2 linked regions of the Nothobranchius furzeri genome follow. The protein of the gene in region 2 binds, or shares a complex with, the protein of the main gene of each other region. Links are inferred from orthologs where the notes say so. Each region holds a gene or a part of one and is shown on either strand. Other genes may lie near its edges.

Region 1 (4,426 bases), on a different chromosome or scaffold from region 2:
GCCCGCGGGCCGCCTATTGAAGACCACTGCTTTAAACAGAATTGTTTCTTCTATGGTTCTTTCGAGAAAGAAAGAAAATTATCTTTCATTTAGCGCCTCTCAAGATAAAAATCATGAGGTGCTTCACAAAAACTAACAATTTTACATACATAAAATATTTTTAAAAAACAATTACAAAATTTTTTTTAAATTACAATAAATTTAAAAACTGCGAGGAAAGGGAGAGAAAATGAATAGGAAAGAGGAGAAACATTAAGTAATTCCAGGAGGACTTAACCCCTGACTTGCTGCTGGAAAATAACCAGATAATTCCATGTCATGTGATACGGATGGCAGTGAATGTGTCTCAAAAGTAGGGCTGGGCGATTTGGCCTAAAATCAATATCACGATATATTGAGGATTTCTCCTCGATAACGATACATTTTCGGTTTATTGCACAGCCCTACTCAAACTCTTGTTTTAACGCCCCCTATTGGGGACCTCTACAGTTTCATGTCCCAAACATCTACAACTGTCCACATTCTCCAAACAACTAAAACCACAATCAAACAGCCCAGATGGGAAACAAGGCCATTTTAAATTGTAATAAATTAAGATACAATGATATTTGAACTTTTAGAAAAGCGTCTGGCCTTCACTGGTGTCTGCTGCAAAAAACGATTGAACAAACTTAGTTGAGGACCCCTGGAATAAATAAAATAAGACTAAATTTCTGAAATCGAATTTGAACTCACAACCTCCACCCTGTCACACAGCCCTCCTCTTCTAAAATTAAGTTCAAGTATTATTTTATCTTAATTTATCAAAATCCAAAAATTGCTTTGTTTAAAATCGAAACTGTTTTGATTGTAGCTGTACTCGGGGAATGCAAACAATCACTGACATTTGGGACATGAAACTCCAAAGGCCTCCAATTGGGAGGCGCCAGGGCCCAAAGAGTTAATTCTAAAGATTGGTGCTGTTTGCAGATAACAACACACTTCAGTAGCTCCAAGACTAGCCATTAGCTCATCAGTCCAGTCAGACTTAAACTTTATTTCTCCCAACAGAGGCTTTTCTAGAAGCTCTTTAGAAAAAATAGTAAATATTTATGTATTTCACCTGCTTCAAAAAGGCAGAAAAAATAATTTTTTTAAAGTTGGCTGAACTAAGAGTTGTTTAATAAATTTGTGAGTGAGTGGTCGTACCTTTGTCTGGTTCTGAAGTTGCTGTTGAAGAGGAGGCTGTTCAGAAGTTCCCATAGGCAGCTCAAACCGGGGGCTGCAGGAAAACATCTCAGTAAATTTTACATCTTTGATTGTGTTATTTCAGAATCTCCTAACCCAAAAATCCACTTTTACTAAATAAAAACTGGATCTTAAACAGGTAATTTATGTAAAAAATCAAATAAAACAAATGACTTACTGCATAAATTTACAGGACTTTCCTTCTGGACAGAAACCCACCAGGTAGTTCACACAGATCACCCTTCTTGTGTGTCTGTGTCTGCAGTCAGGCCCTGAACACACAAACATCCAGAAGCCGTTTGAAGAAAGAGCAGAAAAAGAGTTTTTCTCACCCACATGCCGGATCTTACCGTGTTTACAGAAGCCTCGGTCGTACCATGGACAGTCTTTGATCTTAGACTCTGGATCAATGTGCAGGAAGGGACATTCCTTATTGCTACACTCACCTGGGGGTCAACACATATAAGAAATAAAATATTCAGAGCCTTGAAGACAAGTGTTGAGTGGTTAAGAGGCACAAGAGCCACACTTAGAATTCATTTAATGTGTTAAAGATAAAGAGAAAGTCAACTAACCAAACTTTGAGTAGAAGTAGCATTCAGGCATCTTTGTCATGTCATACTCATGGAGAAACTCGCACTGGTCTCCTTTCTTACACAGTCCTCTGAGCCAGTGTTTACACACCACCGTCTTCTCTCCGCTGATGTGACGGAACGGACACATCCCACCTGAATCACATTCACAGTTACAACATTCATCTCATTTGAACAACTGCAAAGTCGGGTTGTTGCAGAGCTACAAAAACAAGAGTCAGAAGAAATCAAGTCAAAATACTTTCTCCTCTTTTGTCATACAAATCAAATCTTTTATGTTAATGTCACTACAAGGAAGAGCGAGATCAGAAGCGGTGGTTGACTCTGTGTTTGGCATAAAAATAGAAGTGAGAATCATAAGTAACATAAAAATGTGACAAAGAGTAACAATAAACACTTTATAAATAGAAAAGGTCTGTTTATGAAAAGATTGCACCGGTTTAGCTATAGTCTCTATTGCACACTAGAAAGAATTTTATTAGGAATTCAGAACCATGATGCGGAGACAACCAGTGAGTGGAGGGTTACCAATACATTTTATTTAGAATTGTAAAGCTTTGATGAACGTTTCAGATTAAAATAAAATAAGCAGCATTTGTGTGTCTAATGGAAACACACATGGACCCGTGACCAACAACAAAACGAAGTAAAAACTACTGAAATTATATTTTTTTACCTTTCATGCAGGTTCCTCTGGTGAAGTACTCACACACAGCTGACCCTGACTCTACAGGGGGACACATTAGCACAGAACTGATTAACACAAGCATGTGTGTACCTGCCGTTAGCTCTCTCATTAGGGTTCATTCAGATAAAGCGGCTAATAGCAGGTAGCATCCCTACACTTACTGTCCATGCCGGGGAAAGGCAGAGGCTGCGCTCCCAGCTGCTGCTCCATAGCTAGTTCCAGATCGAACTTGATGTGATCCACGGTGGCCAACAAGTCCTGCATGTTTGCTTTGGTTTTCTGCCCTCAAGCCAAATAAGTTGTTTTCGCCTGTGCTAGCTTGAAATCGAACCTGTTAGCTTAGCTACCTCATCCGCACACTAACGAAAGCGTAGGCTAACGAAACTTGACGGTCAAACAGATTAACAAAATATAATTAGAAAACATGTAAATAAACTAAGTTTGTAGTTTTACTGCGTAAAAAAAAACTTCTGACCGTGGTTCAGGTCTGTCAGTTCCGTTTTAGTTATCGTTCTACTCGTTGCTCAGCGTGACGGTGTTGGCGCGCGCACAACGATCACCGAGCTGACGGATCTAGACTGAACTAATCGATAAACGAGGCCTTTCACGTTTCACTTGGAAAATGCTTGCCTCTTTATTTTTTATTTTTTATTTTTTTATTTTTGCTTTAATTTTTTGTTTCATGAAAAATGAGAAGAGTACTTATTGAGAAGAATATTATGAATTGTAAAATTATTTCCAGGATGAACCTTACTAGATTCCTATTTTATAGTGAGTTTTTTTTTCTGTTTTAAAATATGTAGTCATTTTTAATTTTCGTTTGTCTGTCACATAGTTTAAAATTTATTTGTTTGTACAATTTCGTAATTAAAATCACTACTGATCTGACGCTGGGTCTGTGACGTCACAGCTGAGTCTCTTCTCCCCCAGCATAGTTGCTACTTACCACATGGCCAGATTTGTGGTGGTTTTCTCCATATTTAATGTATCTTCTTTCATCCTGGAAGGATTTGCAGCTTGTCACCATTCTTTTTCTCATCTTCTCTGTGTCTGGTTCAATTACATAAATTTGGTGAGACAAGTATTTGTAGACCGTCCTCTACGTCATTTACACAAAACCTAAAGTAACTTTTGTCACCTGTCAAAAATAAACACTTTATTGGCATAAAATTGTATTTTTTAAATTCACAGACATCATATGTCAAAACAATGGCACATTTCAAACAGGATCAGAAAACAACTTATTGGCTCATACATTTTTTTGGAACTAGGGGGCCCACAAACTGACATGGAAGAGTAAGCAAGAGCACATAAAAAGTAATAAAAGAAGAAGAAGAAAATATCATTTCTATAGTGCCTCTCAAGATAAAAATCACGAGGCGCTTCACAAAAACAAAAAATGTAAAAATATAGAGTCCACCTTTAATCTTTTGAAAATGTTAAAAAAAGAGTTTAAAATAGGCAACAAAGATTTATTTTGATATTTACAACTGAGGCATTTCTCTGACATTCAGGTGAAACCACAACTAGCGGGAAACTGTAATGTGCTGGTTAAAATTATACTGAACTCGAAAAACCAATTGCCGTCCAAGGTAGTTTCTAAATTATACAGCTGTATTAAAAAATGTAATGGAAATAATTCACAATATGTAAAAACCAAATGGGAAAAGGATATGCAAAAGGAAATTTCAGAAGATGATTAGCATTCAATGTGCAAAACAAACTCAGCTCTACCAGCTCCAGGAACTGGTGAGAATCCGGATGGAAGAACTTAGTACTAGGGATGTCCCGATCAGGTTTTTTTGCCCTTGAGTCTGAGTCAGAGTCATTTGATTTTGAGAATCTGCCGATACCGAGTCCCGATCCGATACTTTCGATACATAAAAAAAAAAGAAAAAGAAAAGGAAGAAACAGTGCA
Region 2 (4,539 bases):
GAACTCTTCTACCCTTTAAAAGCACAATGCCGCTAAATTAATAACCACAGAGCTGTCAGCTGTGTGACATTACTGAGCATAAACACTTCAGTACCTGATGATCTCTCCATATTCGTCCCATTTAATCCTCTCCTCGTGTACCGGAAACATCGGGTAAGACTTTTTAGCCTGTTTGAAGAAACTGCCTTTACGGCTCCCCTCGCTCTTCATCATCAAGTCGTGATGCTTGGTTTTCACCGCAGCTAGGTGATCGATGTCATCCTCCACGTCGCTCTCATCACTCGAGTCCACATCCACCCTGCAAACCCAGGAAGTAGAGTGGAACAAGCACAAAACAGATTAAAATCACCTAGAAGGTCATTTATTTCTGTTCTCTGACATCGACAGGTTCAAACTGCTGAGAAAGAGTCAGAAAAATACATAAACTCTTCCTTTTCCTACTGAGACTCACTCTTTTGCTTGTTCGAGTTTTTTTGCTGCTTCCTTCTTCACTTTCTCCTTCTCCAGATATTCCTCCAGGTCCTTGCCCTCGAGCTTCACTCTTTTCCTGACCTGCCAAAAATAAAACAAAACATTTTAAGTGTGAAAGTAGGAAACAAAGACCACGTGAAAAGTTGGTCATCAAAAACCCAGTCTCACCTCCAGATCCAGCATCGTTTCCCCAGGGTTGTCGATGAGGTAGCGCGCCAACGTTCCAGGTGTGGTGCGGTAGGTCAGGATGATGGAATTTTTTGCGTTTTGACACCACTGAATAAAAAGTTCTCTGGAAAAACCAGACTCAAGGTCTGGCTGGCTACAAAGCACCACCTTGGGGCTGGGGACCCGGGCCAGGTCTGCCAGACTGTGACACAGGGTCAGGTGTCGGAACTGGAAGGGATTGTTTCTTTTATCCTCAAAACACCTCATGAGTTTGTCGCTCATCCACTCCACCTACAGGAAATTAGAAATGCGGTAGTTTGTCATATTTCCTACGAGGTCTCCGTTTCAATACTAAGGAAGTGGGAAAACCAGTGACTGATACCTGGGACTTGGAGAATTCCACCACATTGTAACTGACATTGTTGAGCAGAGCTAACGGGTAAACTCCCAGTCCAGCATCCTTTGTCCTCCAAATCTGGTCCAGGAGCTGTGCCAGCTCCAGGACGCGTCCAGCCGTGTCCACGGAAATAAGGACATTCCCATCCCCACGCAAGGTCTCCATTACATTAGCTGTAAAAGTAGGACAATTAGTGAAGGGAGAACATTAAACATGCAAGCTGAAACCCTAACACCTATTTTCAAGAAATTCTTTCAATCTAGTTTAAGCTTGATGCTAAAATTGGTAACCGTTGTGAGGACAACTTACTGAGCAGCAGCTCATCTCTTTGCTTGCGGCGTGGTTGTACATAAGTAGCATTAAAGGAGTCAGTAATCAGTAAGGATGGACGACTAATGCTCTCCAAAGTGCAGCCATTCAGGTGGCTGAAACAGAGAGGAGTAAAAGAACACATCAGCTAAAACCCGACAGGCTACCAGATTTCTGTTTTATACAAACACCTCTGCCTACATTTCTCTCTTATGGTTAAAGTCCACTGCATAGACAATTTCCTCCTCTCCATCCTTGACAATCTTCCATATGGTGCCTCCGATCATGTGTCCAGCAGGAAGAGGAGTGATGGAAAGGCCATGGCCTTTACCTGTGAGGAAAATTAGATGATTTTAACCACATAAACTGGAGGGTTCTTTAATCTATAATGGATTGTAGGATGCTCACCTTTCAGACTGACAATCTGAGAGTACTTCAGTTGCTGGATTTTGTCAAAAGCACTGTCTACGTCATCAAGGGTGAAGAGCGTGAAATCTTCACTGTTGTTTCGAGACTGAGGGAAAGGGAAAATATTTAAAAAAAACAGAGTTTTATGCAAAACAATGTATATGTTAGCATTTTTTAATATAATTACAATTTTAAGTACCTGATATAAATCATACATGAACATCTGACCCATTTTGTAGACCGGAATGGTGGCATAGATAGTACAGTTTAGACCCAGCTTGCCAACAGCATAGGGCAGGGCTCCCAGGTGAATGGGGTCAGGGTGGGACAGCAGCACTGCATCGACCTGATGAACATATCTGGAAGAGATGATGAACAATATTTTTGATTGCAGAACAAACACAAAATTAAGTGAGCTAGGGGTGGAAAAACTACTTAAGTCATGAGTTCAAACTGATTTTACAATAAAGAAATAAATAAATGTTTTCAGCAACTCTGGAAAATGTGTGAACAACCCATTCCTTCTTGTGGATAGCTCTTATTGTTAATTATGGTTTGACATTGTTACCGCTTCATGGCATCAATAATGTCCATTGAAAAGTTCTCGTCCCATCCACAGTCCAGCAGGAAGCGAAATTCATCCACCTGCAGCAGGTAACAGAGGGCAGACTCCTCCTGAACCCCTGACACGGCTGTCAGCTTGATAATGGACGTCATTTTCCTTCACTTGTCTCGCTGAAATGACACAACAGAGCCCACAAGTACAAACAACTTCAACGTCTATTTCTTGAAACTAGTTTGAATATGAACAAAACCACGCACACATGTGCCATTATTTTACCGAACAATAATAGTGAATTTCATATCACTGTGAGTACAAGGGCTTGTATTCATCTCGTTACAAAGGTTAAAACGTAAGAAAATCTAAATGAAAGCTGTCTGATTTTCGCAACAATTGTTGTCGAATTACCCGGCAGTCTGCTTAGCCTGCTAGCTTAGCCACATATTAGCTTGCGTATATGAATGAACAAAATCAAGGGAATGGGAGACATACCATCAAATACAAGAAAAAAATAAATATTATCTTTCGCAGTAACAGAAAAAAACGCCTAAATGTGGGGGTTTTCTTGTAATAATAACATCCAAGACATTTTTGTTAGCAATTAACAGCTCGACTAGCGGCCATGTTTTCACGTTCGTCACAGGTGAAAGGGCAAATGAACGTACCACTTACAGTCAAGAAGTTCTAAATCAAAACACATAATTTAAAGTTCTTTATATTAAACTTAAAACATAAAAAATGCAAAAAATTGGAATTCAATATAATGAATATAGAATATAATGAAATAAATATGTAAGTATTTATCGATTTTCATGATCACGTGATCCTTTTGCATTTGGTAGAGTCCACGAATGTCCTTCGTTTGGTGAAGGAAGACCTGAAGGCCACGACTGTGTTAAAAAGCGGGTAATTTCTGGATTTATGTTTTATTGTCTGAGTCTGATAGTTATAAAAGCTTTGAGCGAACGTTTATTAAACTAAACATTAACAGGTAAAGTTATTTATAACCAAACGTCGCAGTAGTCGCTAGTGTTTAGCATGTTAGCTGTGGAGGAACGCTTTAGCTTCAACTGAATGCGGTGTCCAGCTGTATTTTCGGTTACATTTCAACATTTTCTTTGCTTAATAAAATGTCCTACATCATATATTTTAGGGGGATGTTTTGTTTATTGCATTTGATCCAACATCAATAAGCTGATGGCCATAATTATGTCGTTGTTTTGGAGCTTGGCTCTTATGAACATGTTTTCTTTTGTTTAAAAAAGAAAAAATAAATTGGATAATAACATACTACAACTGAAAACAACTCCCACCCCCAAAAAAGAGCAGGAACAAGCTTAAACTTGATTGATACCAGTAACAAGCTTTAGTGAATATAAAACATAATCAGTACTATGAAGTTAGTACAACTCTGTGCTTTTTTTGTAGGAACCATGGTGAAGTTTGCTCTTTCTCAGATAAACTGGACACACGTATTGGTTCCTATGGGTTTTGTGATCGGATGGTACCTTGATAAACAACAAGACCAGAAGCTGACAGCTTTCAGGAACAAAAGTGTGTTGTTTAGAAGGTAAGAAACCTCACACACACATACCACGGTCTCACAATTCATCTAACTTTGCAAGCAGCAAGTTCAGGTGTGGAATAAAGATTTTTTTAATGCAGCCACATGGAAAACAAACCTCCTTTCTTCTTGATAGAGAGCTGAAGCCTGGCGAAGAGGTGACCTGGAAGTAGATGCCCAGACAGTCCTGTCAGCTGAAGTGTGAATGGTTGATGGATGGTCTTCAAATCGCTTAATTGAAAAACATCCTGTATATTATTTTGAGTTGTATCAACTAAAAAATAAACATGCCCTTTGTGTTTCAAAGAAATAATGTTTATTTTATACATTATGTATCAAAAAGCTGCGAAAGAACCGTATCCATGACTACTGAAGTTTGTTTATGAACATGGTCGGTGTAATTAAGCTATCTGAGGAGGCTCAGCTGTGCGGATAATCCCCTTCTCAAAAAGCAGTTCGGCCAAAGCAATCTGTGAGGAGAGAGGAAACTAGATTATTTTCAGAAATTCACACCATTAAGGCACAGAAACGAGTTTGAATGTCAGAACCCACCTTGTCCTGAGCAGAGTCGCATGGCAAGCCTCCTACTGTCACAAAGTTGGGATACGAGTGGATCAGAAACTCAACGGCATCCGTGTGCTAAAGATAAATAAAGTACCA

The links.
Region 1: cpsf2 (region 2) and cpsf4 share a complex: the UniProt entries of both Homo sapiens proteins name them as parts of the cleavage and polyadenylation specificity factor (CPSF) complex. The link is inferred for Nothobranchius furzeri from reciprocal best matches to the Homo sapiens genes CPSF2 and CPSF4.

The regions. Positions count from the first base shown.
Region 1 is NC_091752.1:65,592,072-65,596,497, forward strand, and holds the start of cpsf4 (cleavage and polyadenylation specificity factor subunit 4), read right to left. Parts: upstream 3,075-4,426; 5' UTR 2,773-3,074; coding exon 2,670-2,772; intron 2,548-2,669; coding exon 2,497-2,547; intron 1,956-2,496; coding exon 1,803-1,955; intron 1,674-1,802; coding exon 1,578-1,673; intron 1,500-1,577; coding exon 1,406-1,499; intron 1,262-1,405; coding exon 1,189-1,261; intron 1-1,188. UniProt on the Homo sapiens protein: Component of the cleavage and polyadenylation specificity factor (CPSF) complex that play a key role in pre-mRNA 3'-end formation, recognizing the AAUAAA signal sequence and interacting with poly(A) polymerase and other factors to bring about cleavage and poly(A) addition.
Region 2 is NC_091742.1:9,301,674-9,306,212, forward strand, and holds the start of cpsf2 (cleavage and polyadenylation specificity factor subunit 2), read right to left. Parts: upstream 2,959-4,539; 5' UTR 2,808-2,958; intron 2,489-2,807; 5' UTR 2,471-2,488; coding exon 2,322-2,470; intron 2,113-2,321; coding exon 1,953-2,112; intron 1,860-1,952; coding exon 1,754-1,859; intron 1,677-1,753; coding exon 1,547-1,676; intron 1,462-1,546; coding exon 1,346-1,461; intron 1,210-1,345; coding exon 1,022-1,209; intron 931-1,021; coding exon 640-930; intron 553-639; coding exon 452-552; intron 299-451; coding exon 95-298; intron 14-94; coding exon 1-13. Other genes in the region: NADH dehydrogenase [ubiquinone] 1 beta subcomplex subunit 1, read left to right, coding at 3,749-3,885, 4,016-4,052; riox1 (ribosomal oxygenase 1), read right to left, coding at 4,281-4,349, 4,432-4,518. UniProt on the Homo sapiens protein: Component of the cleavage and polyadenylation specificity factor (CPSF) complex that play a key role in pre-mRNA 3'-end formation, recognizing the AAUAAA signal sequence and interacting with poly(A) polymerase and other factors to bring about cleavage and poly(A) addition.